Linked DNA regions of Callithrix jacchus. The protein of the gene in region 3 purifies or fractionates together with the protein of the main gene of each other region. This does not show direct contact. Links are inferred from orthologs where the notes say so. Each region holds a gene or a part of one and is shown on either strand. Other genes may lie near its edges. The genes, in order: NOPCHAP1, RPAP2, RUVBL2, ACTR6, EPC2, POLR2B and DKC1.

What was found.
Region 1: the proteins of RUVBL2 (region 3) and NOPCHAP1 purify together in Homo sapiens (affinity purification with mass spectrometry; 4 studies listed by BioGRID and IntAct, with this or other methods). This does not show direct contact. The link is inferred for Callithrix jacchus from reciprocal best matches to the Homo sapiens genes RUVBL2 and NOPCHAP1.
Region 2: the proteins of RUVBL2 (region 3) and RPAP2 purify together in Homo sapiens (affinity purification with mass spectrometry; 3 studies listed by BioGRID and IntAct, with this or other methods). This does not show direct contact. The link is inferred for Callithrix jacchus from reciprocal best matches to the Homo sapiens genes RUVBL2 and RPAP2.
Region 4: the proteins of RUVBL2 (region 3) and ACTR6 purify together in Homo sapiens (co-immunoprecipitation; 7 studies listed by BioGRID and IntAct, counting the BioPlex papers as one, with this or other methods). This does not show direct contact. The link is inferred for Callithrix jacchus from reciprocal best matches to the Homo sapiens genes RUVBL2 and ACTR6.
Region 5: the proteins of RUVBL2 (region 3) and EPC2 purify together in Homo sapiens (co-immunoprecipitation; 4 studies listed by BioGRID and IntAct, counting the BioPlex papers as one, with this or other methods). This does not show direct contact. The link is inferred for Callithrix jacchus from reciprocal best matches to the Homo sapiens genes RUVBL2 and EPC2.
Region 6: the proteins of RUVBL2 (region 3) and POLR2B purify together in Homo sapiens (affinity purification with mass spectrometry; 3 studies listed by BioGRID and IntAct, with this or other methods). This does not show direct contact. The link is inferred for Callithrix jacchus from reciprocal best matches to the Homo sapiens genes RUVBL2 and POLR2B.
Region 7: the proteins of RUVBL2 (region 3) and DKC1 purify together in Homo sapiens (affinity purification with mass spectrometry; 5 studies listed by BioGRID and IntAct, counting the BioPlex papers as one, with this or other methods). This does not show direct contact. The link is inferred for Callithrix jacchus from reciprocal best matches to the Homo sapiens genes RUVBL2 and DKC1.

The regions. Positions count from the first base shown.
Region 1 is NC_133510.1:107,923,182-107,927,139, reverse strand, and holds part of NOPCHAP1 (NOP protein chaperone 1), read right to left. Parts: intron 894-3,958; coding exon 757-893; intron 1-756. UniProt on the Homo sapiens protein: Client-loading PAQosome/R2TP complex cofactor that selects NOP58 to promote box C/D small nucleolar ribonucleoprotein (snoRNP) assembly. Acts as a bridge between NOP58 and the R2TP complex via RUVBL1:RUVBL2.
Region 2 is NC_133508.1:130,052,571-130,056,528, reverse strand, and holds part of RPAP2 (putative RNA polymerase II subunit B1 CTD phosphatase RPAP2), read right to left. Parts: intron 3,890-3,958; coding exon 2,965-3,889; intron 1-2,964.
Region 3 is NC_133523.1:42,858,287-42,862,244, reverse strand, and holds part of RUVBL2 (ruvB-like 2), read right to left. Parts: intron 3,637-3,958; coding exon 3,581-3,636; intron 2,252-3,580; coding exon 2,110-2,251; intron 1-2,109. UniProt on the Homo sapiens protein: Possesses single-stranded DNA-stimulated ATPase and ATP-dependent DNA helicase (5' to 3') activity; hexamerization is thought to be critical for ATP hydrolysis and adjacent subunits in the ring-like structure contribute to the ATPase activity.
Region 4 is NC_133510.1:103,343,272-103,347,229, reverse strand, and holds part of ACTR6 (actin-related protein 6), read right to left. Parts: intron 2,352-3,958; coding exon 2,213-2,351; intron 1-2,212. UniProt on the Homo sapiens protein: Required for formation and/or maintenance of proper nucleolar structure and function. Plays a dual role in the regulation of ribosomal DNA (rDNA) transcription.
Region 5 is NC_133507.1:81,638,695-81,642,652, forward strand, and holds part of EPC2 (enhancer of polycomb homolog 2), read right to left. Parts: intron 2,905-3,958; coding exon 2,756-2,904; intron 2,006-2,755; coding exon 1,873-2,005; intron 1-1,872. UniProt on the Homo sapiens protein: May play a role in transcription or DNA repair.
Region 6 is NC_133504.1:139,815,639-139,820,267, forward strand, and holds the start of POLR2B (DNA-directed RNA polymerase II subunit RPB2), read right to left. Parts: upstream 3,259-4,629; 5' UTR 3,160-3,258; coding exon 3,141-3,159; intron 1-3,140. Other genes in the region: NOA1 (nitric oxide-associated protein 1), read left to right, coding at 4,549-4,629. UniProt on the Homo sapiens protein: Catalytic core component of RNA polymerase II (Pol II), a DNA-dependent RNA polymerase which synthesizes mRNA precursors and many functional non-coding RNAs using the four ribonucleoside triphosphates as substrates.
Region 7 is NC_133524.1:150,505,812-150,510,373, reverse strand, and holds the start of DKC1 (H/ACA ribonucleoprotein complex subunit DKC1), read right to left. Parts: upstream 2,839-4,562; 5' UTR 2,708-2,838; coding exon 2,692-2,707; intron 700-2,691; coding exon 632-699; intron 163-631; coding exon 76-162; intron 1-75.

The DNA.
Region 1 (3,958 bases), on a different chromosome or scaffold from region 3:
CATCGCCTGGGGTTTAGGGATCTCTGAGACAGAGAAGTACAGGCAGAATCATATGGGCCCTTTGAAGGACTTCGTTTATTTGAAACGTGATGGGAAGCCCCCAGGTCCCAAACTGTGTGAAGAACAGACTCTGGGGAAGAAACAGTGAAAGCAGGAAATCCTGCTAGGAAATTGCTGCAATAGTCCAAAGGAGAGACCATAATTACCTGGACCAACAAAGGTCCATATGAACAGTGGCGGTTGTACAAAGTGACTGGAGTTGGGATATATTCTGGAGGTAGAGCTGACCAGACTGACTAATGAATTACATATTATTCACAACTGTCTCAGCTCTGTCCAGGCAGAGATATTATAAAGAGAATTCCAGTGCAGAAACAAGAGATGAGTATAAACGAGAGAACATTTTTACACAGAGCCTATGTAATCAATTGCTCTCTTCCACACATCATTTATTTTTATATACTGAATAAATCAGACTATAACTACCTCTTTTGGAGCTTGGACAGAAAAAAATCCAGTTAGGACATTTAGCAAATTAATGCTTCAGAATAACAAATGTAATATTTGACTTGGGGAAAAAAAAAACCCTCCTATGACATATGACTAAATCATAAAATGACTATGTACCTATACAACATTCGAAACATGAGCTAACACCAGGAAAATGACACTTGAAAATAAAATGGAAAAGTTCTCTCTTCTTCTCAGGTAGCAAGGTGAACTAGTAATTTCACCATATGAAAACAAAGCAGTTACCATTTGTATAACTTTGCCATGAGTCCCATCAATGTTTTCAATGTTGAAACGACCAGGTGGTGCAGCTGCCATTTCTTTTCTTAGCTTTTCATTTGCCTGTGCCATCTGTGGGAGAAAGGTCTGTACCTGATCCAACACTGTGGAAAGTAAATACAGTATATCAACATTTATGCCAGTAAATTCTGAAACTCAGGATTTCCTATAAACACTTCTGAATTGAGTACTAATAATAACAACCATAATTATATATCTTTTAATTCCCTTCTTTGAAAAACCCTTCATCCTCTTCTGAATAAAGCAGTAGGACAATACAATTCAGCAAAAAATTGTTTTCAAATGTTTTTATGTTTCTCATATATCCCCAGGACCGTAAACTCTTAGAAGGCTGGCATTCAACAAACAGTAACTAAATAGGGAGGCAGTGTGGCTTAACAGTTAAGAGTACCAGGTTCTGAGGTTTTAGAGTAAGACTGACTAGGTTATATATAGAATCCTAGTTCTACCTCTATCTGAATTACCTTGGGCCTGCTAATTAAGTAGTGGTTATTTCTGCCTACCCAACATCTGTTCCCTTTCTTCTGATCATATAACCCCGGCTTTCCTTTTAAGCTTGTGTCACTTTTAGTCACTCTTGTCCCTCACCCCATACATGCCTACATCCTCCATATCCTTAGTCACTGTAATGTGCTTTAGTGGCATACCAGTGACACAACGCTCTAGTCGGGCCAATAAGTTAACTCAGGGCCTTTTGTTGATCTGTTGAGAGAGAAATCTTGCTGAATGACTGACTGAGTTGCTGAATATAAGGCTGAAGCTCCTGATAAACTGGCAACTTGCCACACCTGAGATAAGAGCATGCCCTAGATTAGGTCAACACTAGGAAAGCAGAAATAAGAGACAGAGTGGCTGATCCCTGAGGACTTTGAGCACCTAGATCCAGATGTACCTGAAATCACCACCCCTGGAGTTTTTTTCCCCAATAAAAACAGCCAACATAATTTCTTTTTTTTTTTTTTTTTGCTTAAGGCTATCTGAGCTGGATTTTAGTCATTTGCAACCAAGAGTCCTAATTAATACATTTAATTATTTAATTTTACCACTTGAAACCTAATCTATAAAAGAGGAGTGATAATTGTCAGCCATTGTGCCAAGTACAGAGCAATCAATGAACTAAGGATATTTATTTATTTTTCTCTCTCGAAAGAGGCCCAGCACATAACCATGCATATAACAGGCTCTCAAAACTTATGTCAGTGCTATGGCTACATAATAGATGACTAAAATGTCCAGAGTATGGAAGAAGAAATAAAGTGGTGGTCAAGGTCAAGTAGATGACCTTTATTTGTAAAATAAGGTGCTGGAAGGACTCCCCAAGAGCATGTTCACAAACAAAGCCCTACACAATAGTGAAGGGTAGCTCTTATTCCCCTTCAGAGAGACAGAGAAATTACTGATAAAAATAAAGTTATTTCTCTGTCCTCAGATTTAAATCTATTGCTAGAGATAGAAAATCTGGTTCTGTTTTGTTTCCAACTAATGAATCAAGTAGAGCAAAACAAGAACCAAAATGTGTGGCCTGAACCGTGATTCTCAGAAGCCAAATATTTCCATGGTACTCTTGGAGAGTATATGCTGAACCCTGAGGCTAGTCCAGTTGTAGTTCTTCTAAATTAAATAAAATCCATCATACAAACCATAAGATTCAAAATGTCCAGCATCTAATAAAAAATTACCAAACATGCAAATAGATAGGAAAACCAAATACATAAAGAGTAGGGGAAAAAAATAGAAATAGATTCAGAAATGATACAGACAGAATCAGCAATAAGAATGTTAAAACTGCTCTTACAAATATGCTCTATATGTTTAAGGAAGAAAAGCAAAGCACAAACCCAAGGAAAGAAACAGAAGATGTAAACATCTCAAACTTCTAGAGATGGAAACTGTATCTATCTTGAAAAAACATATTTGATGGAATTAACAGATTAGACAATATAGAAGAACAGTGAACTCAAGAAAATCAGCAATAGAATCTATCCAAATTGAAACACATAACATGCAATACCCAATCAACGAGCTGTGGGGCAACTTTAACTGGCAAAATTAGGTGTAATTGGAGTCCCTTTGGGAGAGGCAAAGCAGGCACGACGGGAGCAACAACAACATAATCTCTAAAAAGTTCCCCAAATTTGATAAAGATTATAAACTCATAGATCCAGTATGTTCAACAAACCCAAGCTCAAGACGCACAAAGAAAACTACAAAGGGCACCTCACCATAAAATTGGTAAAAGCCAGTGATGAAGAGAATCTTAGAGGCAGCCAGAGGAAAAAGGAAACACCATATTCATGACACAAAATGACAGTAGACACTGGCATCAGAAACAATGCCACTGAAAAGACATCTTTAAAGTACTAGAAAAAAAAGAAAAAGCAAAACACCACACTGTCAACCTAGAATTCTAAATCCATTATAGCATCTTCCAAAAACTGAAAACAAAATAAAGACTTCCTCAGAAACACAAAGGCTGGTAAGTCTATTGTTGGCAGAGCCGCACTATTACGAATGATGTTTACCATAAGAACCTGATTTTTTTAAATGCATTCAAGATTTGAACAGGCACTTCAAAAAGATGCACAAATAGTGACACATGAAAAGATGCTCAACATTATTAATCATTAGAAACAAATTAAGATTACAACGTGATACCACTATATCTGCACTAGAATAGCTAAAATTAAAAAGACCATACCACATTTTGATTAGGATGTGTAGCATATAAACTCTCATACCTTGCTGGCGGAAATGCAAAATGGCAATTTCTTCTTCATAAAAAAGAATTTTACACCTTCCATATACCTGCAATCCCACTCCTAAGTATGTAACCCCTCAAAACAAAAACCTATATCCACAAAAACTGATTTTTGGATGGACAGCCACCATGAGGTCATTTTAGCTATTATGGATTTACTGCTACAGAAATAATGCTAAGGTTAAATTCCCCTTTCAGAGTACTCATGATTTCTTAGTTTATTGATGTGACACCTTCACGCTTATTTACATAAGTTTTCATTGAATTCTTGTCTTTTTTTTTTTTTAACATTAAGAGTGAATTACACGGTGGCTCACGCCTGTAATCCCAGCACTTTGGGAGGCCGAGGTGGGTGGATCACGAGGTCAAGAGATCGAGACCATCCTGGTC
Region 2 (3,958 bases), on a different chromosome or scaffold from region 3:
AGCAAGGTTACTGGCTACAAGGTTAATGCAGACAAAAATTAATTGATTTTCTACATAAATATCAGTTAGAAAAAAATTTTTTAAATGACATCACTTTCTAAAGCATATAAAAACCCAAATACCTAGGAATAAATGCAATGAAATATGTTTAAGACCTCTACACAGAGAACTATGAAATGTTATTGAGCAGACTTTAAACATAGCTATTCTACTAGATATTAAAATTTTATAGTCATGTGTCACTTAGCAACAAGGATGCATTCTAAGAAATGTGTTGTTAGGCGATTTTGTCATTGTGCAAATATAGAGTGTACTTACACAAACTGAGATGGTACTACACACCTAGGCTATATGGTATAGCCCATTGCTGTTAAGTACAAACTTGGGTGGTATGTTGCTGTATTGAATACTGTAGGCAACTGTAACACAATGGCAATTATTTGTATCTAAACACAGAAAAGGCAATAGTAAAAATGTATTATAACAGTCTTATGGGATCATCATTGTATATATGGACCATTGTTGACTGAAATGTTGTTATGCAGTATGTGACTATATATAGCTACTATAATTAGGCAGCATGGTATTAGCCCAGAGATAGATACATAGACAAATTAACCCACACATTTATAAAAATATGATTTATGACAAGGGCCACACTACAGAACAGGGATAAGAGAATCTTTTTAATACATGGTGCTGGGTAAATTGGATATCTATATGGGAAAACATGAAATCTGACCCATACTCCTTGCCATAATCAAAAATCAATCCCAGATGAGTTACAGATCTAAATGTGAAGGGAAAAACCACAAAGCTTTTAGAAGATAAAATAATCTGGACTAAGTAAAGATTTACTATAGAAGTACTGAAGGGAACAATTAATAAACTGGACTCAAGACACTATTAAAAAGATTGAAAGGTCAAGTCTTAGAGTAGAAGATAATATTTGCAACACATATAACTGAAAAAGGACTTTAATCCTGAATATATAAAGAAGCCCTACAAATCATTTTTTAAACCTCCCAGATATTCCAACAGATAAATAGAAAAAAGACTTGAATAGGTACTTCAAAAAAGAGACTATCCAAGTAGTCAATAAGCAAATAAAATAGTGCTGAATTCATTAGTCATCACAGAAATGTATTATAATCACAAAGCAATATTACTGGGATGGCTAAAACTAACAATATCAAGTACTAGGGAGGACGTGGAGTCAAGAAAACTCCCATATAGTAGTAGCAGAACTGTAAACTGGTACAACCACTTTGGAAAACTGTTTGGCATTATCTAGTATAGCTGCATACATGCAAATATAATAACCTACCATTCCCAGTCCTAGATACTTCAGAAATACATATGCATATTAGCAGAGATAAATACAAGAAAGTTCATAAGAATATTGTTCATAATAGCCCCAAATTCGAAATAGTCTAAATGTCCATTAGCATAAATAAATGGTGTATTTATATAATGGAATACTATGCAGCAATAAGAGAATGAACTACAGCTCTATGCAACAACACATATGACTTGAAGGTATAATATTGCATGAAATAAATTGGACGCCAAGAATATATACTGTCAAAAAAACTGACAGAACTAATCTGTGCTAATATAATATTAATTTTGAAAAGAGGTACTGATTAGGAGGGGATATATATGGGGATTCTAGTTTACTTGTAATGATCTATTTCTTGGCTTGGGTAGTGATTACATCAGTATATTCATATGTGAAAATTCAAGAAATCATATACTTACTATTTGTGTTATACCTCAGTGAAAATGTTTTAAAGTGTTACATAATATTTTTGGAAAATGTTATAAATTTACAAAAAAAATTTCAGGGATTATTTTTTCCCTTTTAAGGCTAAAATGCACAAAATGATAAAATAAGTGATATTCTATGGTGGGTTTATGCACCTCAGTGACAATGATCAATGCTTCTCCCAGCTTAATACAAGTTTCGGATGATGTCTAATAATATACTTGAAACGATTTGAAGTAAGGTGCTGGGCCAAGCAACACTCTATAGAAATACAAGACATTTTTAAATCTTTTGCTATATTTCTTCTTCTACCCTCTTTCCAAATCTCCAATGTGCGTTTAAATTGAGAGCCATAATTACTTAGCAATTTTTGAGAATAAAGTTTTGTGGTAAAAACAAGGTTACTGCCCATTTCACTTCATGTTAAATGACTTCATTTTCCAGGGAGTACACATCAGTCAAAAATGGGTAGTAGAAATACTAAATCTCTGTGGCACATTTTCAATCTCTACATATGGGTACTATTTATTGAGTGTCAGTTATATGTCATGTACTATGATAAACGCTTTACAAACATTATCTTTAAAATGAATAACAATTGAGCAAGAGAAGCTATTAATAGTCCCATTTACAGATGAGCAAACAAAGCAAGAAACTAATTTTTCAACAGCTAGTAAATGACAAAACAGATGTTCAAATCTAGGTCTATCTGAATGTGCTTTCCATTCTCTTTGTCCATTCTTTCCCAATAAGTCTCTTTTACAAATTATTTTCATCTATAATATTTTAAATGGGCATGCTTGCTAAATATTTTCCAATGTAACTAGCAAGTCTATTCCATAGCATATACTTCCATTAAACATACACACACACACCCATGTATAAATCTGAAAGAATACATACCGAAGAAGAAAAAACAAGCCTCTTCAGAGGCTTCATTTCTTATTTGTAGAATTAGGGAAAACTTTGTCCCACCATTTTAGGATATTTTTACATTAGAAAAAAATTGCACATTATCTATAAAATAGTAATGCCAACAATGGAGATGGCACTGTAAACCAAAAGGCAGAATGACTAAAGAAACTATTTGAAAATTTAACAATTATCTCTTCAATATCCCTCCTTATCCAGGATTTGCTGTGGTGAGTTTTCCAAATGTTAATGACCTGGAAAAACTCAATGCCTGTAAGACATACCTCTTCTGAGTCTTGTGATTTGGTGGTTTCTTCATCCAAAACATACCGTCCTCTATAAAACTCCCTGATCCTCAGATTTAACTTTTCAGTTTCTTTTTTCAAGTTCTCGTAACTTGGCAGTGGTTTAATGGCTGTATCTGAGCCCATAAAAGGTAAAGACTCATCCAAGCTGTTCTGAGATTCCCTCCAGGCAAGCGAATGACTATGTGGATCTGAGATTATGTCATCTTCATCAAGTTCTTCTTTAACCAGAGAGGCTTCGGGTTTCAGACACACAGAAGCATAATTCTGGCCATACAAAAACCTCAAAGTTTCTTCTGTCTTCCACTCAATCAAAGTCTCCTTCAAAATTTTAAGTAAGTTTCTCTTTCCAACTTCAGGACACACCTGCACTGAACCAGATACTGACCTAGACACTTGGTTTGATTTGGCAAATTTTCTCTTAAAATGCTCCACACTTTTCTTACTTATGCCTACTAGAGTTATTTCTGACCTACTGTATTTACTTTCAGAATTTTCTGAAGCTTTTAATCTTTCAGGCAAAGTACTATTTGGAGAATTCTCAGTATTTACTTTCTGTAAGGGAAGTTCACCTGTAGCAGCTTTCTCCTGACTATCTAATTTGCAATTGCCTAACTGCTCAGTGACATCTACTACTGTCTGTTCTTTGTGTATGGAGTTAGCTTTGTGACCAGCCTTCTTTTTCATTATGCTTTTCTGGTGCAGCTGTGGTCTAATACTTGTTGAATTTGGTCTGTTTCCTGGTAGAATGGAGGAAACAAAGTCTTGCTCATTATCACTGCTACTATCACTATGAGTGCTGGAAGAACTAGATTCATATTGCTTTTCAAAGTGGCTAGTATTGTCTATATCTGATGTTTTAATGGCTTTACTGCATAACTCTACTTCTACTCCAGAATGGCCACTGTAAAATGAAAGAGAAATAAAATAATTAAATAATAAATGGCAAATAAAAACCAAAACAATAGGAAAG
Region 3 (3,958 bases):
AGACACAAGAAGAGGAAAAGCAAGGCCAGGCACGGTGGCTCACTCCTATAATCCCAGCACTTTGGGAGGCCGAGGCGGGGGATCACCTGAGGTCAGGAGTTCAGGACGAGCCTGGCCAACATGGTGAAATCCCGACTCTACTAAAAATACAAAAATTAGCTGGGTGCGGCAGCACACATCTGTAATCCCAGCTACTTGGGAGTCTGAGGCAGGAGGATGACTTGAACCCGGGAGGCGGAGGTAGCAGTGAGCAAAGATCATGCCACTGCACTCCAGCCTGGGCAACAGAGCGAAACTGTCTCAAAAAAACAAAACAAAAACGTCAGGCACCATGGGCCACCTTAGGAGGCCGAGGCAGGCAGATCACAAGGTCAAGAGATCAAGACCATCCTGACAAACATGGTGAAACTCCGTCTCTACTAAAAATACAAAAATTAGCCAAGCGTGGTGGTGTGTGCCTGTAGTCCCAGCTGCTCGGGAGGCTGAGGCAGGTGAATCACTTGAACCTGGGAGGCGGAGGTTGCGGTGAGCCAAGATTGCACCACTGCACTTCCAGCCTGGTGAAAAAGCAAGACTCTGTCTCTAAGTAAATAAATAAATAAATACGATGAGGAAAAGACAAAGGATGGAGGGATGCAGGGAGGGAAGGCACTGTGTGTGCCGCATTCTGGGCCTAGACGTGCTGCACCCCGTGTCTGCCCTGGAGCCTCCTGGGCATCCCACTAGGATTAGCTCAGGTATCCGCTTTTCTGGAAGCCTCTCCCGACAAATGCCACCACATGTTCTGTTTTCCTGCCGAGGTCGGGAGCCTCCTCTGTCCTGTGCTACCTCCATTGTAACACATGTCACCTTGGAAGGGATCGTGTCCATGACCGCCTCCTCCAGACCAGGAGCTCTTTGAATTCAGGCCTTGGTCTAACTCATCTGTGGGTACCTGGTGTCCAGTCCGAGGCCCGGCGCCCCAGGGCGCCCCAGAAGACACTGCTTTACCCTCACTGAACACCCACCTGGTTGTTACTCTGATTCTCCCTGCCTGGCCCCAGCCGCAGCACAGAGGTGGGAGTGGGTGGGCAGAGAGGTGGGTTAGGAAAAGCCTCAGTGAGGCAGAGATGCTGAAGTCGTCGGTCTGGAAGGACGAATAGCTGTTCAACACGGAAGATGAGGAAGAGCTGGGAGTGAAAAGACCATAAGCCACTAGCGGACTGCAACAGGCTGCTGGGTGGCTACTCCACGCCCGCCTTCCCCTGCTTCCTTAGTTCCAGAACCCTCATTTTCTTTGTTTTTTTATTTTTTTTGGAGACAGAGTCTTGCTCTGTTGCCCAGGCTGGAATGCAGTGGTGTGATCTCGGCTCACTGCAACCTTCACCTCCTGGATTCAAGCGATTCTCCCTGCCTCCGCCTCCCAAATAGCTGGGATTATAGGCATCTGCCACCACACCAGGCTAATTTTTGTATTTTCAGTAGAGACAGGGTTTTGCCATGTTAGCCAGGCTGGTCTCAGGTGATCCACCTGCCTCAGCCTCCCCAAGTGCTGGGATCAGAGGCATGAGCCACCACACCCGGCCTAATTTTTAAATTTTTACAACTGCCTCTTGTCCAACAGAAGAATCCTCATTTTCTTTAGGCAAAAATGGTTCAAATTATGAAATCAACAAGAAATGTAATGTCCCAGCCTCCCTTGAAGCAGAGCGTGACCATGAGATTAGTTCCAGTCAATGAGAGACAAGCAGACGCATGGAAGACCTCCAAGGTGACTGGTTAAAGGAAGCCGTCGAGGGGGTTTACCCTCATGACAACTTTCTTCCTGCTGCCTGGATCGTGGTGGGAAGGCTGGAGCCTAGGCAGCCCTCTTGGAACACAACATCCTCTTGACACTGGAACCAAGTGCAGAGGATGATGAGGCAGGAAGATGGAAGACTTCCTGGGACTGCTTAGTAAGCTCCAAATGGCCTCCCTCTATATTCTTCCATGGAAGAGAATGAAGCCTGAGTGTTTAAGCCACTGCTATTTTGGGTCATCTGTTAAATGCGGGTGATCCTGACCCTGACTTACACAGGAGGGGTTATCGAGCAGAGGCCACGGGAGTTCCGGCCCTGGGAGGTTTCTTACCCATGGCGATGGCTGTCTTCCCTGTGCCCGGCTGGCCAGCAATAAGAACTGCCCGCCCGGCAATCTTCCCTTCCCGGATCATCTCCAGCACCACACCTGCTGCCCGCCGTGCCGCCAGCTGACCCACCATGCCCTGGGAAGCCTGTGGGTGGGACACAGCACATGAGGTGACTTCCTGCTGGGCTACACATCATTTCTACCACATCTTGGCTAAAGAGATGGAAGCAGTCATTACTAGCTGGGACTTCCAGGAAAAGCCAAAACAGCTTTCTCCGCTTTTTTTTTTTCTGAGACAGGGTCTCACTCTGTCATCCAGGCTGAAGTACAGTGGTACGATCATACAGTCACGGCTCACTGCAGCCTCAACCTCTAGGGATCAAAAGATCCTCTGACTTTAGTTCAGCCTCCTGAGTAGCTGGGACCACAAGTGTGTGCCACAATGTCCAGCTATTTTAAAAATATTTTATAGAGACAGGGTCTCACTATTTTGCCCAGGCTGGCCTCAAACTCCTAGGCTCAAGTGATCTTCCCGCCTCAGCCTCCCAAAGTGCTGGGATTACAAGCGTGACCACTGCATGAAGCCTGATTTTTTTTTAAGGTGGCAAAACCATGGCTGCCCAATCCCAACTCTTTTTTTTTTCCTTTGTGATGGAGTCTCACTCTGTCACCCAGGCTGGAGTGCAGTGGCATGATCTCAGCTCACTACAGCCTCCACCTCCTGGGTTCAAGTGATCCTCCTGCCTCAGCCTCCCGAGTAGCTGGGATTACAGGCATGCACCACCACATCTGGCTAATTTTTGTATTTTTAGTAAAGATGGGGTTTCTCCACGTTGGCCAGGCTGGTCTCGAACTCTGACCCCAGGTGATCAGCCTGCCTCAGCCTCCCAAAGTGCTGGGATTACAGGCATGAGCCACTGTGCCCAGCCTACCCAATTCTTTAGTACCAAGAAAACCCACATGTGGCTGAAGTTTATGGATACGCAGGCAAAGGTCTGGAAGACCGTAACATAGTCCCCACACTCCCCAGGGCCCTGGTGCCCACTACCCAAGACCTTCGTGGAGAGGCCCTCACACCCCAGACCTTCGTGGAGAGGCCCTCACACCCAAGACCTTCGTGGAGAGGCCCTCACACCCCAGACCTTCGTGGAGAGGCCCTCACACCCCAGACCTTCGTGGAGAGGCCCTCACACCCCAGACCTTCGTGGAGAGGCCCTCACACCCCAGACCTTCGTGGAGAGGCCCTCACACCCCAGACCTTCGTGGAGAGGCCCTCACACCCCAGACCTTCGTGGAGAGGCCCTCACACCCCAGACCTTCGTGGAGAGGCCCTCACACCCCAGACCTTCGTGGAGAGGCCCTCACACCCCAGACCTTCGTGGAGAGGCCCTCACACCCCAGACCTTCGTGGAGAGGCCCTCACACCCCAGACCTTCGTGGAGAGGCCCTCACACCCCAGCCTCCTCTGCTCTACCTGCCGAGGCTCCAAGGCATCGTCCAGCCCCAGCCCCCGGATGTGGGAGTGAGCACCTGTATGCAGGGAGAGAACAGAGACTCAGTTAGTCAGCTTGCTGCACGTGTGGCCTGACACCTCTGAGTCCTGGTTTCCTTTTTGGTCAAAGGGGTGGGTGGGAGTAGGGAGCAGGGGCTTGGGGAAATGAAGGGGCACAGGGAAGGATTTCCCAAATGGCCACCTCACTAAGAAGATGGCTGAATGTGCTAAATGCTCAGTGAACTGGAGTTGCTCTGAGGATGCATCCTAGTTAAACCAAAGTCACTGAGACCTGATTAATCACATAAGAGTACCAAGAACTAACCACAAGGGCTAATGATCACAAGTACTCTGTGTTTA
Region 4 (3,958 bases), on a different chromosome or scaffold from region 3:
GACCCTATCTCTACAAAAAAAATTTTTTTAATTATCCAGGCATGGTGGCGTATGCATGCAGTCCCAGCTACATGGAAAGCTGAGGTGGGTGGAAAACTGGAGCCCAGAGGTCAAGGGTGCAGTGAGCCGTGATCACACCACTGCACTCCAGTCTGGTGACAGAGCAAGACTCTGTCTCAAAAAGAAACAACAACCCCAAAACCCAGCTTGGCTGGGCATGGTAGCTCACACCTGTAATTCTAACACTTTGGGAGGCTAAGGCAGAAGGATCACTGAACCCAGGAGTGAGAGGCTAGCTTAGGTAACATGGTGAGACTCTGCCTCTACAGAAAAAAATAAGATTTCTTTTCTTTCTTTCTTTTTTTTTTTTTGAGATAGGGTCACATGCTATTGCCTAGGCTGGAGCGCAGTGGTGCAATCCTAACTCACTGTAACCTCAAACTCCTGGACTCAAGCGATCTCTCTACCTTGGCCACCCAAAGTGGTCGGATTACAGGCGTGGTCCACCAAACCTGGCCAATAAATGTTTCTTTATTGTATTTATTACATTTGCATTATGCTTTTATAAAAATGGATTTATATATAAGTATACATATAAAAAAGCAGTAGATATACAATAAACATTTATTTAATAAATTAATAAGACCTATTTCTGTGGATCCCTTGGCCTGTAATCGATGCATGCAAGATAAGGATCCAATATGCTTTCTACTCTTGAGAACATAAAAACATTAATGGTGATAAAAATCATCCAATAGTTTAAAATTGTTTATTCATTTATCTCACAGCTGTAAAATAAAGTGATATCAATGAGAGCCTTCTATTAAATTCTACTAATTTTGGAAAATTCTACTTTAGCTTTAAAACAAAACTGTAGAATTAAGAGTCAGATATGTGGGGTCTTGTTTGCAACTCTGCCACTAACACTAGGGGTGGGTTTTTTTGACATGTATTTTAGTAAGAAGTCCTCACTGAAGGTAAGAAAACTGGGTTTTAATCTGATCATTGCTATTAACTCACCATAAAGCATTTGCCAACTCATGAGCTCCTGTTTCTATATTTATAAAATAAGAATATTGAATAGGATGAGCTATAAACCTTCCTTAGAGCTATAAAACTCTACTTTCATTTTTTTGTTTTTTTTGGGGGTTTTGTTTTTTGAGACAGGGTCTCGCTCTGTCACCTAGGCTGGCATACAGTCGTACAATCTAGCTCACTCCAACCTCTACCTCCTGGGCTCAAATGATCCTCCTACCTCAGCCTCCTGAGTAGCTGGGACTAATGGTGCACACCAGCACATCTGGCTAATTCTTCGGTAGAGACAAGGTTTCGCCATGTTGCCCAGGCTAGTCTCAAATTCCTAAGCTCAAGTGATCTGCCTGCCTCAGTCTCCCAAAGTGCTGAGATTAAAGGTGAGAACCATTGTGTCTGGCCCTACCTTAGTTTATTTTAACCACTAAAGTGGAAGTGATGAGATGCACTTTTTCTCATAACAGGGTATGGGTTAGATGTAAAACAATTCTGAATTTTAAAAAACTCATTAGTAAAAGTCATTTAAAATATTTAAATTTTTTAAAATTCTGAAACAACTTATGAATTGATAAAATGTATCACAATGGTTCGATTATTAAATTTCTATTCTTGACAGAACTGTCAAGAAATAATACATCTCAGATAAATCACATAGACAATAACTTGATTGCTTTGCCTATAAAAACCTCTTAGGATCAAGGCTGACTTACTACATGGGAGTAATCACCCCATATGTTTATTTTTTTATTTTTTTGAGACGGAGTTTCGCTCTTGTTACCCAGGCTGGAGTGCAATGGCGCGATCTCGGCTCACCGCAACCTCCGCCTCCTGGGTTCAGGCAATTCTCCTGCCTCAGCCTCCCGAGTAGCTGGGACTACAGGCACGCGCCACCATGCCCAGCTAGTTTTTTTACTTTTAGTGGAGACGGGGTTTCACCATGCCGACCAGGATGGTCCCATTGTGTACAATACATAATGACTGGCACTGTACATACTTCTATCCCATTTAATTTAGTGAAATGTAAGGTTTATCATTTTAATTTTTGAAAGAAGAAAAATGAATATTCAGCAGGTGAAATAAACCAGCCACCATGGGAGAGCCAGGCTTTAAACTCAAGTCAACATACTGCCTTTTCTACACGCTGACTTCCATGTTTGTTTCTATATAAAACAACACTTACTTTTCAGGCAGCACAACAGAAACATCATAGTCTGTTGGAGTAAGACATCGAACTTCTGAGTAAACCCGATCCCTAAATCCTGGGAAAAGGGAGTTTCCTCCTGTCAAGACAATGTTCTTAAAAAAATGTGGCTGCATTTCTTTAAAAGAAGAAATGAAGAAAGAAATGAAAAAAGGCGTTAGAAAATCTGTTTACTTTTTTGAAACGATGTGGATGAGGGATCAGATAAGCAATTAAGGATTATAGTTACTGCTGGGAAACCAAATACATTTTCAGGTCGACTCTAAGATTTGTAATGAGGTTACAGTTTATACAAGTGAAGACATTAAACAGTGAAATATGACTTCACAGATCTTTAAAAGTTAAGGTGAGGAGGGTGAACTACTGGCTACTTATTGTACACTCATGTAAGCCATATATAAGTGTTACTATAGTAACAAAGAGTTGATAATTATAATCATTCTTCTCTAAAATGGGGGGGAGGGGTCTTGCTATGGGCTGAGACTGTAAGCTACCATAAGGATGAAACCAAGGTGTTTCATGACATTTGAACTTACAAGTCCCAATCTCCATATTATCTCACTGAGGCAAACGTATGTTATGCAATACTTACCTTTGATAGTTAAAAACATTCATAATCTTTTTTTTTTTTTGAGACAGAGTTTCGCTCTTGTTACCCAGGCTGGAGTGCGATGGCACGATCTTGGCTCAACGCAAACTCCGCCTCCTGGGTTCAGGCAATTCTCCTGCCTCAGCCTCCTGAGTAGCTGGGATTACAGGCACGCGCCACCATGCCCAGCTAATTTTTTGTATCTTTAGTAGAGACGGGGTTTCACCATGTTGACCAGGATGGTCTCGATATCTTGACCTTATGATCCACCCGCCTCGGCCTCCCAAAGTGCTGGGATTACAGGCTTGAGCCACCGCACCCAGCCACATTCATAATCTTTGTTTAAACAAGGGATCTAAGCATGAACACTCATTAAAGTTACATAATAGCAAATGTTAAGTATCAAAAGCCAACAAAACATCACTGGGAAATCCATCAGGAATTAACAGGTACCAGCCATCCCACCTAATGTTTCTGTTCACCAAAACAAGGGCAGAGTTTCCTTATAGTGACTTTAAGTCTCACTCTACCATGACATTAAAGCAGTGTAGTACAAAATGTTGTAACATCATGACTGCAACTTTATATAAAATGTGAAATATCAAAACAGCTGTGAAATAATTATGTAAGGATAGCAGTATGTTTTTCTTTCTTTCTTTTTTTTCAATGAGAGGAAAGCACATGGCCTGTGCTAGATTTTCTCCAATGCCTACTTCTTGTGAACTAGGGAGATACTAAAGTACTCTAAAACTCTAGAACATTATTTACTTAAGGCATGAAATCACTATGAAGCATCATATTCCAATCTCTTTAATATTAATCCTGTATGTTAGTCTAAATATAACAGAAATTATAAGTCAATCCATCAATAGCTGAAAACCATTAAACTGTTAAATTATAAATTTCTATTCTATACAGATCTGGATTAAATTAAAACTTTTCTAAAATGGATATGGCAATTTAATACTCATGGAGAGATATGTTTCTTCAAGTTTAAATGGACCATAATGATTTTTCCTCTGTCAAATTTATAATCACAAGAAAAGATAAAAGAAAAAAAACTTATAATCAAAGATGAATCAATAATTTTTTTTTTTTTTGAGACGGAGTTTCACTGTTGTTACCCAGACTGGAGT
Region 5 (3,958 bases), on a different chromosome or scaffold from region 3:
GTAATCCAGTATTTAAAAGGTATTTAAATTCAATTCTTATTTAAATCTACTATATTGACAAAATTAACAACTATTTTTATTTTTAAAAATCTTCAATTGGACCATGACTTTATTAAGTTATTTTTACACTTAGTTCCAATTTTTTAAAACGTCTGTTCTATGGATGGCAACCTTTTGAGAAAAACAAGCTTAACTAGGAAAAAAGCCCTCACTTTTTAGAATGTATAATTACTGCAGCAACTGAACAATAACTGTTCTGAAGTTCCCCAGGCTTCTGTGGAGGTTCCTGAGAGGCCATCTGGCAAAGACACTGACTGAAGGGGTAGGTTTCCAGCTCCCACCTCCCCTCAACAGAGCAGCTCTGTTACTGTTTTAACACACTGGCATTCCTTTTAATAAAAAGGGATCCGCCACTTTAAAAGTTGGAAAAGACTGTTCTAAGCACCAAGGTACAAACTACAAAATTTATACATTTCCACATGTAGTCCAGATGTTAACTACTTTAGGGTCAAAAACCGTACACACAATAAAAATATTGCTTGTAAGGCAAATTATAGTGAGATATAAAATTTTTCATACAATGGGTGTAACTATTACATCAAAAAGACAGTCCCAACTTTCAGAAACTTCCCATATTTTAAAGTGGGATATGTCATAAAGTAAACATAGTTATTAAACATGTGTGATGGAGTAGGACAACAATGGATGCAACCAAATCCCTAAAGTTAGTATTTAGGTGGGCTGAATGTTTATTCATAGAGGAGATCTAAAATAAGAATTAATATATAATAAGGGCTGATTCAGTCAGTAATTATGGGTTAAGATTTTCATATTGCAATGCTTAATAATCACATACCCAGGAAAAGCATTGATTGACATAAAATGGATTTTTAAAAATAATTTACAAAATGACATTTGCATTAACTTTTTTGGCTATAGAGGCAAGTGAGATTTAGAGAGAATAATGATGGTGGGCTAGATGCCTGTGATTAATAAGAAAGAACTCTGGTGTTTGAATTGACATGAACTGAATGAAGGAATCTTCCTGCTCCACACTCTTTCTTGACCTTTAAGAATCAACCCAAGAAGAATGAGAACTGTGTACATTTTCAAAAGATGAATTTTCCACAAACACCCTAGGTCATTTAAAAAAATCTTGCTACAGAGTAAGGCTCTATTGTCTAGAGGCTTCAGTCAATACTTGTTTCTTATTTAAATCTACGCTCCTCAAAATTGAAGGCTTTATTAGTTATTCTATTTCCCAATTAAATACTTGAATTAATATACCAAGTGAGGACTGAATAAATATAGTTATCTAGTCCAAGTGACTAAAATAACCACTGAGTCTGGCTCTTTTATTAAGAATAAACTGTGACCCAGAAATTAAAGGACTTTCTCAAAGTCACTCAAGGTAGGTAACAATTGATAAATGCTGGCTCTGGAAATGACAACAAGAACGGTTTTCAATAGTCTCAATGAATAAAGCTTTAATTTGAGGTGCTGATTCCTTCCATTACAATGTAAGGTTTGCTAAGCTTAGTGATAATAACTAGACTTTAATTACCCTTATTCTCTAGGGAGGCAGATAGCATACTGAAAGTGATGAACTGTTAGACCTGAACTGAAACCTTGAATCTGCCACTTACTAGCCATATCTAGAAGTCACAAAGACACAACTACCTCTAAGGGTTGTTATGAGGATTAATGGATCAGAATGTGTACAAATACTCCTAGCAAAGTACTGGGCAAATGTTAAGAACTAAATTCATGTTAACTGCTTTTTCCTTACTCAAACCATATTAAGACAACTGCAGAAATCAATAATTATCTGATCAACATTACCATACATGCTTCTTCCCAGACAATATTCACCTTAGTTTTACATTCTTGAGCTTTGTGATGATTTCCATTATGAAGAGTTGCTGGAGTGGCATATAACTCTTTCTCTGATCTACTGATTTTCACTTCATTAAGAATTTCACCCCCATAGTCTCCCAAATGATATCTTGAAAAAAAATAACAAAATATAAGAAAACATTGCATAGTTTAATAATAAAGAAGGAAAATAAATGATACCTCCATTAGTTGGAAGGCACCTAGTCAAAAAGAGCTAACAATCAAATTATTTTTAAAAGACAAAATTTACAGGAATAAACAACCAGAGATTTAGTAAAAACAAAACAAACCAAAAAACTAAAAAAAAAAAATCTAAGGTACACAGAAAATAAATTTCTTACATACATTATATAATCAGTCACTGAGAAATGTTTGGAATGCTTACTTCAGGAATCACACAAAATTCTGTTTTAGTTTAGTTATTTTTAATTTTGTAGGAAAATACATTAGAGAACACATTTCTAAAAGGAATAAAAAAGTCTATCTACTCAGAAAATAAAATCAATACTCATTTCCCTTAGATTTTATTTAATAGAAACTATAATACAGAGAGGTAAACAAAATGATCACCAGAGTTCTTTTCTAAATAAAATTCAGTGATTCTGCAAAACAAAATTAAGAATAGGATCTATAGTATATAAAAACTCTCCCAAAGTCTGCAATCTAAATTGAATAACTTAATCTATAAAAAGAAAAAAACAACCTAGTAACCACAAATCTTTAAAAAATATAAATTCTTACAGAATCAATATCAACTGTCATAAAGTTTAACCTGCCCCCCGCCCAAAAATCTTCTGGTTCATTTTGTCCATCACTTGGTAAAGCTGCCACTTTATTGCTGTAACAGGAGCAATGTTACCTTTTCTCCACAACTTCTAAGGTTAAGTGCAATAATTCTCGTTTTGTTTTCTCTCTTCTCTTAATCATTTCCAAAATTGTTATGGCTCTACTAAATTCTCGTCTCAGTTTCAACATCTTTTCATAAGAGGCTTCATCATTCTTACGATTCTATTAAAAATAATGATAATTTTAGAAGTTATCTACATTTCTGGCTTTATTCAACAAACTCTTATCAGACCTGAATTTATTCTATAAAAGTAAAATGTTAAAAAAAATCTGAACAGCACCTGTATAAGAGAATCTGTATCTATTTTAATTCTGAAAATACAAGTATAAACAAGTATCTCTCAATAAATACTCAGAAAAAAAAAATGCTTCCAGCTGTTGAAAAGGTGGAATGGCATAAAGAGATAATTTCAATGTCAACAAATTTTTAAAATGTCCACCTGAAACAAAACCTGGTATTGGAAAATGTAGTACATTCATTTAGAGGAAGGTATTTTTCCAATAACAGAGAGGAACAGTTTTGTCCAGATCAAGGTAACAGTTAAAATGAGTCCCCATCCATTCATCCATCCATCCAGCTCTGTAATTGGGGGCTGGATGGTTTGATACGCTGTACTATAATGTGAACATGAACAATGACCAGTAAAGCTTCACTTCAGAAACTCAGAAAACTGAGAGTAGCATAACAAGCATTTCAAGACATCAAATTATCATTTTTCAATGTAATGTAACACCCCATTGCTGAGTAGAAAAGAGATTTAGTAAAAATACTGAATTTCAGAACACTGTTTATTAGCTTTTCAACTAATTATACAAAGTGAAAGCCCTGCTACATAACTAGAAAAGGCTCAGTCATAATTAACAGCATCTATTTGCATAAAAATTATTACTAATACAAACTATTTGGTGATATCAAACATCCACAGATTCCTTACTTTAGTATTAGACATGAAACTTTTTGTTTAAAAATAGACCTCTACTACCCTTCCAATCTATGCATCCAGAGTGAATTGTACACTTAAGCAATCATTCATTCCTTGAGTTAATAATTCAAAATGACATTAGAAAGAACCTAAAGAATACCAGTGGTTTCATATGGGAGGATTATAAAAGAGAAAATAACAATTGAGAAAAATTCAAAGTTATACTCTTTTTGTGTATAGTTTCCTGCATTTGAGAAAATAATAGTAATACATTAAAAATAACCTAATCCAAG
Region 6 (4,629 bases), on a different chromosome or scaffold from region 3:
CATGAAGAAATCCCATCTCTATTAAAAAAAATTTTTTTAATTTAGCTGGGTGTGATGGCACATGCCTGTAATCCCAGCTCCTCGGGAGTCTGAAGCAGGAGTAATGGCTTGAACCCCGGAGGTGGAGGTTGCGGTGAGTTGAGATCACACCGTGCCGAGATCACGCCATTACACTCCAGCCTGGGCAACAAGAGCAAAACTCTGTCTCAAAAAAAAAAAAAAAAAAAGTTTAACTTGTTTCCATGTGGATGACAGAAATCCAACACTTTCACATAGAAAGAAGCCAGCTGAAAAGGAGTCGCTAAAAACTGATGAGGACATACCTAATAAACATTTTAGATGACATGGGCACAAATAAAATGTAGCTTCACTGCTAAAGCAACTCTGATTAACTCTTGTTTTCCCACAGGATCATTATACATGACCAATAAGAATACAAAATTAGAACAGTCACCACTGTGGTGGTCACTTGCCACCATTTAGCAAAATCTTAAAGGTGCGTATCATCTGACCTGACAATTTTATATGTAGGAATGTATCCTAAAGACATATTTGGGCAAATTATATGTACAAGATTATTCACTCTCAGTACTGTTTTAACGGAAAAAGACTAGAAATAAATCAAATCAAATATCCATCAAGACACTAAAGTTACATCCACACAAACTATTTAGCTGGGGGCGGAGGCAGGGGCGGCAGCAAGTGATGCTCTCTGTGTACTGACAAGAACATCTCCATTAAGCAAAATCTAAAAGTGGAGTAAAGTGTAAACGTTACTTTCTGTCCTTAAAAAAAGAAAACAATCCCATTTATATTTGCTTAAATATGCATAAAGAAACTGTAGAGGCTGTGCGCCAACGCCTCAGACCTGTAATCCCAGCACTTTGGGAGGCCGAGGCAGGTGAATCACTGAGGTCAGGAGTTTGAGATCAGCCTAGCCAACAAGGAGAAACCCCATCTCTACTAAATGTACAAAAATTAGCTGGGCATGGTGGTGCACGCCTGTAATTCCAGCTACCTGGGAGGCTGAGACAGGAGAACTGATTGAACCAGGGAGGCAATGGTTAGTAAGCCAAGATTGCACTACTGCACTCAAGCCTGGGTACAGAGCAATACTCTGTCAAAAAACAAAAAGAAACTGTGGAGTGATAAGAACCTATTATAACACTAGTTGCCTACTGTGGTCAACTGGGCAGATGGTAGATAAGAAGGAGACCTAACACTTTTAACTTTTTTTTTTTTTTTTTTGGAGACGGTCTCACTTTGTCCTCAACTTACAGCAGTGTCAACTTCCCAAGCTCAAGTGATCCTCCTGCCTCAGCCACCCAAGTAGCTGGGACTATAGGTGAGCACCACCACACTCTAGCTAATTTTTTACAGAGAGGGGGGTCTCCCGTGTTGCCCAGGCTGGTCTCAGTTGTTAAAGTAGCCACCGTATTTTAACATTTTTAAATTTTCTGGTTTGTGAGCTATGAGAATATATTACCTAGCCAAAAATTATGCTTTAAAAAATCTTTTTTTCTATTTTTCTTCTACTGAGAGAGTAGTTAACAGGGAATATGATGATGCTAATACATTTCTGGAACACAAGATATTAATGAGAAAGAAGTTTAAACAGCTTTAAAAGTTTAAGCTTTTGGGCAGGGACAGTGGCTCATGCCTGTAATCCCTGCATTTTGGGAGGTCAAGTCAGGCGGATGGCTTGATCTCAGGAATTTGAGACCAGCCTGGGCAACATGGCTAGACCCCATCTCTTTTAAAAAAAAAAAAAAAAAAAAAGAGGCGAGGTAGCGCACACTTGTAATCCCAGCACTTTGGGAGGCTGAGGTGGGCAGATCACAAGATCAGGAGTTCGAGACCAGCCTGGCCAACAGAGTGAAACCCCTCTCTTCTACTAAAAGTACAAAAATAAACTGGGTGTGGTGGTGGGGACCTGTAATCCCAGCTACTCGGGAGGCTGAGGCAGGAGAATCGCTTGAACCCAGGAGGCGGAGGTTGCAAAGAGCCAAGATCGTGCCACTGCACTCCAGCCTAGAGCTAGACTGAGTCTCAAAAGAAAAAAAAAGTTTAAGCTTTTGCTTCAATTTTTTCCATCTAATTTATCAGAAGTAGCTGAGGAAATAGAGATGTAAGGGGTAGCCACAGAATTAAGAGCTAGAAGAAAATAAGGTTTGAATTAGTAGATACGGAGAATGGAAAAGGCAGCTATGGAAAAGGCAGCTACGAAAATACACTAGACTCGACTAAGAATTTTTTTTTTTTTTTGAGATGGGTGTCACTCAGGCTGGAGTGCAGTGGTGCAATCTCGGGTCACTGCAACCTCCGCCTCCTGGGTTCAAGTGATCCTCCGGTCTCAGCCTCCTGAGTAGACGGGAATCCAGGCGCAGGCCACCACACTCAGCTAATTTTTCTATTTTTAGTAGATATGGGATTTCCCCCATGTTGGTCAGGCTGGTCTCAAGCAATCGGCGCGCCTCGGCCTCCCAAAGTGCTGGGGTGAGCCATTGCACTCAGCCACTACTAAGAAATCTATATGCGCAAAGAAAAAGCTATACACTGGTCCGGTGCAACAGAATATATATCATCTGAGAACTGTGGCATTGTGAGAAGAAGGTTAAAGGCCATCCTTTAAGACAATTTCACTTACAAAAAGCATGAAGAAATGTGAGACTAAACCGTTTCGCCCCCCACCCCCCTCCTCCGATAGTCTGTCCCGGTGTATTTCCAGGGCCTTCCGCATTGCCTTGCACATGCTGACATCAATTGAGCTATTCAGTAAATCGACTGTGGCTTTTAGGATAATTTTTAAAGGGTGCCCTTTGCTTCAGACAAATTCAAAACAACGGAATTTATCTTACGGTTCTGCACGCTACTACAATACAGGAGGCGGGGATTAGATCTAACGGAACGAGAAAGGGCAGAGAGCAGCAGTGAACCTAATCAGCAACATTAATGCTATGTTCCCTGCACCCTCTGCCCCTCCCTAGCCTAGTTTCGTTCCCGGCGTGGAAAGTATGGTAACAAGGCTGGGGACCACGCGGCCGGCGCGTGGGAAGGCCCCAAATCCTCCATCCGACCACTTCCCCACGCTTCCCTGCTTAAATGGACCGCCATGGCGTGTGTTTTGAGTGTTCACCTACCCTCATCCGCGTCGTACATACTGCCAAAAGATTCCCGAGTTCCTAACTCTAGAAACCGAAAAGACAAAAGAGCGCACAGAAGCCACCAGCGTCTGGAGCTATAGACGAATTAACTTCCGTCTCCAGCGTTCCCAGAATACTATGCGTCTCACACGAAGGCCGCCCACAAGGACGCCAAAGTTAGGATCTGCGCCTGCGCAAAGTGTAGGGCGCGCTGGGGCGGGCATTAGAGTTGCCTACGCGCAAATTGTGTGCCGCCGCTGTTGGTGGCTGATTGAAAAGACAGCTCTCGCAATCTGCGGTCGGATCCGTCCCGTGAATGTTTTATTTCTGCTTGTTTTTTAATGTTGTTGCACAAATAACGACAGCTGAAAACAAAACCAAGTATAGTTATTAATAAAAAGTGTTCGTTCTGTGAATCCGCGACATTGGGATGTTAAATTTATTTGCCTTTTTAAGGACCAAAACAACACGAAGCTATGTTTTATTTTTATTTATTTAATTTTTGAAACGGAGTCTCGTTCTGTTGCCCAGACTGGAGTGCAGTGGAGTGATCTTCGCTCACTGCAACTTCTGCCTCCCAGGTTCAAGCGATTCTCCTGTCTCTGCCTCCCAGGTAGCTGGGATTACAGGCGCGCGCCACCATGCCCAGCTAATTTTTGTATTTTTAGTAGAGACGGGGCTTTCACCATGTTGGCCGGGCTGGTCTCGAACTGCTGACCTGAGGTGATCCACCCGCCTCGGCCTCTCCAAGTGCTGACAGACGTGAGCCACGCGCCCGGCCGGAAGCTCGTTTTTAAATGTGATTTATTAAGGGCTGCTTGTGATAGCAGTGAGGCGTTAAAGATGGTGGAAAGTGAAAAACCGGCCGGGCGCGGTGGCTCACGCCTATAATCCCTGCACTTTGGGAGGCCGAGGCGGGTGGATCACGAGGTCAAGAGATCGAGACCATCCTGGTCAACAAGGTGAAACCCTGTCTCTACTAAAAATACAAAAATTAGCTGGGCATGGTGGTGCGCACCTGTAGTCCCAGCTACTCGGGAGGCTGAGGCAATAGAATTGCTTGAACCCAGACGGCAGACGTTGCGGTGAGCCGAGATCGTGCCATTGCACTCCAGTCTGGGTAACAACAGCGAAACTCCGTCTCAAAAAAAAAAGAAAGTGAAAAACCCAAAGCACACGCAGATCTCTTCCGCCCACCTAGCTTAACCCTCCGGTGCCTTTGCGGCAGCTTTAACTAGGTTCTCAGTCTCAGCGCTTTAATCGCGAGAACACACGGGATTAGACAGGAGAAGAACCAAGACACCTCCCAAGTACCCACGCGCTTTAGTCTCGGGTCTCGCGCGCCTCGGGGCCTAGTGAGCGCGCGAGCTTGTGGCTCCGCCCCTTCGCCTGGAGCTACTTCCTCATGCTGCCTGCGCGCCTAACGTTCAGGCTCTTGAGCCCTTTCCTGCGTGGATCCGTTCCCACGGCCGCGCTCCATGGCCTC
Region 7 (4,562 bases), on a different chromosome or scaffold from region 3:
ACACTATCAGTTGTTTAACACTTGGAAATAACATAAAAGCAGACATTCACCTGATGCCTGATCTTAACCACATACCTTTAGCAAAAGGGGCCACTGAGACGTGTCCAACTTAGCAACTTTGGATTCAGGTTTGATAAGAAATTCTTCAACGTGTTGTATTTCCTTCCACAGAAGAGAAATATAACCTATTAGACTTCCCACCCGATTTTGAATAATTCCATTGCTACCACGGAAATGTGTGCCTTTTAAATAGAAAGTAAGGCTTTCTATGCCTTTTCAGTGGGACCTCCAGGGGAAAGAGAAGAAATGAACCAGGAGTACAGAGGGGAAGTGAAATGCCACTAAGATGGGTCCAAAAATTTAAAGAGAAAGGGGGATAGTGGGTCTGTGGGTGGGATAAGGAAGAGAAATTCAGAGACAGCAGTTGGGAAGCCCAGCACCATTTAGTAAGCTATGCCTGAAGGAGACTTGGACTGTCTGGGGCTGTCATATCAGTACTTTTTCAAATCTACACAATGACCACCAATCCTGGCCCATTCTTGGAAACCTTTAAAACACTTCTTTCCTTTAGTTTGTTATTTAAGTAAACCTTCTTTTTAGTCAAAGTGAAGTCAAACACATTACTACTCACGGCTACATCTTCTTCTGGCAATGACTTCCGCTCCTTTTTCTTCTTATGTTTCTTTGGTAAAATAATCACTAAAAAAAAAAACAAACACAGGATTTGAGAATTTTCCCCAAGAATAAATGAGCATGAGTTTAAAATAAAAACCAAAATTAGGGGTAGGAAATGGATCTTAGGTCTACAATTACAGTCACATGCCACATAATGTTTTGTTCAAGGACAGACTGCAAATGTGACGGTGGCCTCCATAAGATTATAACAGAGCTGAAAAATTCCTGTCTCCTAGTGATGTCTTAATGATCCTGACCTGTGTACGTCAAGGCTACTGTGTGTGTTTGTGTCTTATTTAACAAAAAAAAAAAATGTAAAAACAAAAAAAAAGTAGAAGAGTTATAAATAAGGATATAAACAGAGAAAATAATTATGTACAACTGAATAATGTGTTTAAGCTAGGTGTTATTACAAGGGTTGAAGGAAATAGTTTATAAAGTTACAGTAAGCTAAGGCTGATTTATTCTGAAGAAAAATATATTTTTATAGAGGAGGGACAGCGGGGGGTGGGGAGTTGGGGAGAGATAGCATGGGGAGAAATGCCAGATATAGGTGAAGGGGAGGAAGGAAGCAAATCACACTACCACGTGTGTACCTATGCAACAATCTTGCATGTTCTTCACATGTACCCCAAAACCTAAAATGCAATAAAAAAAAAGAAAAATATATTTTTATAAATTTAGTGTAGCCTAAGTGTACAGACTTTATAAAGTCTCCAGTAGTGTAATGTCTGAGGCCTTCACATTCAGTCACTGACTCAACCAAAGCAACTTCCAGCCCAGCAAGCTCCATTTATGGCAAGTGCTCTCCTCTACGGGTGCACCACTTTTAACCTTGTGTACTATATATGCATACACATTTGAGATGCAGTTTCACTCTTGTTGCCCAGGCTGGAGTGCAGTGGTACAATCTTGGCTCACTGTAACCTGTCTCCCAGGTTCCAACGACTCTCCTGCCTCAGCCTCCCCAAGTAGCAGGGATTACAGGCATACGCCACCATGCCCAACTAACGTTTGTATTTTTAGTAGAGACAGGGTTTCACAATGCTGGCCAGGCTGGTGTCGAACTCCTGACCTCAGGTGATCGGCCTGCCTAGGGCTCCCAAAGTACTGGGATTACAGGCATGAGCCACCATGCCCAGCCCTGTACTATATTTTTACTGTCCTTTTTCCGCTTAGACATGTTTAAATACACATCGTCTCGACACTGTGCTCCAACTGCCTATAACATTCCCCACAGTACCATGCCGTGCAGGTTTGGAGCCTAGAGCAATAGGCTCACCATATACAGCCAGGTGTGTAGTGGCCTATGCCATCTCGGTTTGTGTAAGAGCACTCCGACGTTCCCACAACGATGAAATTGCCTAACGACCCATTTCTCAGAAAGTATATCCGTAGGTCAGCGAGAAAACAAAGTGTGTAAGGCCAAATATATGGGTCGCATGGCTGGGTAACTGCCTTCCGGTTCACCACGTGGCTATGGCAGGGCTTAAACATCCCACAGAAGCGCTCACGCAGGGGACCCGACAGTTCCATAAGCGACCACTCGACTCTCCCCGCCAGCTTGTGGCCTCTAGAAGTTTCTTGCAACTCGGAGCTATGTCTGCTCACGGGTCCCCCGGCTCCTTTTCTTCTCGGCCCGTTTCCACCACCCTTGCTCCCATCGTCGCATGGAGCTATACTGGCGGCGTCCGGGCTAGCAGCAGCACAAACGCTGCCACGTCCCCCGCCACCACGGGGTGGGCAGCACGACAGATGTCTTACGACGAAAACCCGGACCCCAGGGAGGCTTGTCATCGGTGAGAGGCCCGAGCCCCGCCATACCAAGTCACCGCGAGGGACTCCCACTCCCGCCGTCGCCATCGAGCCAGGGCCGAGCGACAAGGCCGGTCGGCTAAGAGGCCGACGCGCCGGCGGGAATCAGAGGGAGGTGGGCGCGGGCCCGTATACCATCCCCCATTCCCGGCTCCCCGAGTCGCCTGGAGTTAGCATAGTCCGGACGCCTGCAGCCCTTACCTTCCGCATCCGCCATGTTACCCTGCACCGCGTGCGTACCGCCTGGTCCACGGCCCGCAGAACTACCGCAGACTCCCGCCGCCACAGTCCAGTGAGGCCGCGCTGCTAGGCCTGCCCCTCCGCGCACAACCCTGTGCGTGCCTCGCCGCGGAGCGGGAGGGGGCGGGGCCTTTCCCGGGGCGACCCGAGGCGCTCGGGCGCGCGGATCTTCCGCGCAATGCGATTGGCTGGCTCAGCCAGGGTCGCGCCACCGCGCCTGCGCCTCGAGCCTCTACCAGCCCGATTAGCCCCGGCTGGAAGCGCTAGTGCCGCCCTCCCCGGCAGCCCGGAGTCTGTGGGCGTGTCCCCAGCTGTCGTTGGTTTACCTCCGGGTTTACCTCCGCGCCTGCGCCTGGGCTCACGGCTGAGCGCTGCGTAGTCGGTAGCTCTTTGCTTTCTGACACTGACTCTCTCAGCTTGGTGTCGGATTAGTCCTGATTCAAAAGTGAACATGTTGAGGCTCGGAGAGATTGAAAGCCTTTTGCTGCTTGCAGTTCCCATCCAGCTAGAGCGGATGGCCACTAGGAGCAGAGCATGAGCCACATGTTGACTTTTTCTAGCAGCTACATGGAAGAAGAGTGAAAAGAAAAGGGTGAAATTGATTTTAATAATGAATTTTTTTAACCCAGCGTATCCGAAATATTATCATTTCCGCATATAGGCAAAACACAACTGCATGAATGGGATATTTTGCTTTTTTTTTTTTTTTTTTTGGTCCCCACAAGGTCTTTCCGGTGTGTGTGTGTTTACTGTCACAGCACACCTCAATTGGAACTCTACGACCAGGCTTCACGCCAAACAGCAGAGACAAAGCACTGGCACTAAATCTCATAGAAACAGGATGAGCCTGGGTATCATGATAGGCAGCAAGGCTGGAAGCTGGAACCAAACTGATTTCTCCCCAGGGATCTTTGGTGCTGTCTAATTGATCGTGGTGTCCTATAGTAAGCCATCATGATCTGTATAACCCCTGTAACGCTAGATCTGGCTAAAGGCATCCTGTCTTGAATCACCACAATGGAAAATCATGGTGCCTCATCTAATTCCCAGATCTAGACAGTCCACAGGCCAGAGCCTGTGAGGTAAGCCTGTAAAAGTGAGGCCAGGCACATGTGTGTAGTTTAAGCCTGCCTCCTACTTTACCCTGGGACCCATGGACATTTACCAGAGACTTGCACAAGCTCGTGTTAATCCCTGGGGAAGTAGAATGCCACTGTCAGAAGTGGAGTCAGCCCATGTCCCTTTCACTCTCAGCCACCCTGTGGCTCTCTCCCCACTTCTTGAATCCATACTTAGAATAAACACAATTGGTGGCTGGAAAAATTCCCACAGGGGCTTCCTGACTCAAGGACTGAGGGTGATAAATGAAGGAAAGATCAAAGGAAGCCTCTGCACATTATCATAATTGAGTCCCTGGGAACTGATTTGATCATCTCACTGTACCCCCAGACATCATGTTGATGCATAGGAAGTGGCAAATGTCTCACCACAAGGTGAGAGATAAGCCCCTTGAAAATTCAGGGAGGTGACACCTCAGTGAACTTTCTGGGCATCCAGTGGGCTGAGACATGTTGAGATGGTCCCTCCAAAGAGAAAGACAGGTTGCCTTACCTGGAACCCTCTGCTTGCTAAAAAAGAAGCACAATACTCAGTGGGCCATTTTCTGGAGATGGCATAACCTATTAGTATGCTACACAGAGCCTTTTCCACGCCTTAGTAAGAGACTCACAGTTCAGCCCTCTGGAATTTGAAATAAACTTAAAGCTCAGCCCTCTACACACAAAAGTATAATAATTTACCAGGAGCAAAAGCTCCTGGCTTGCTGTAGTTAT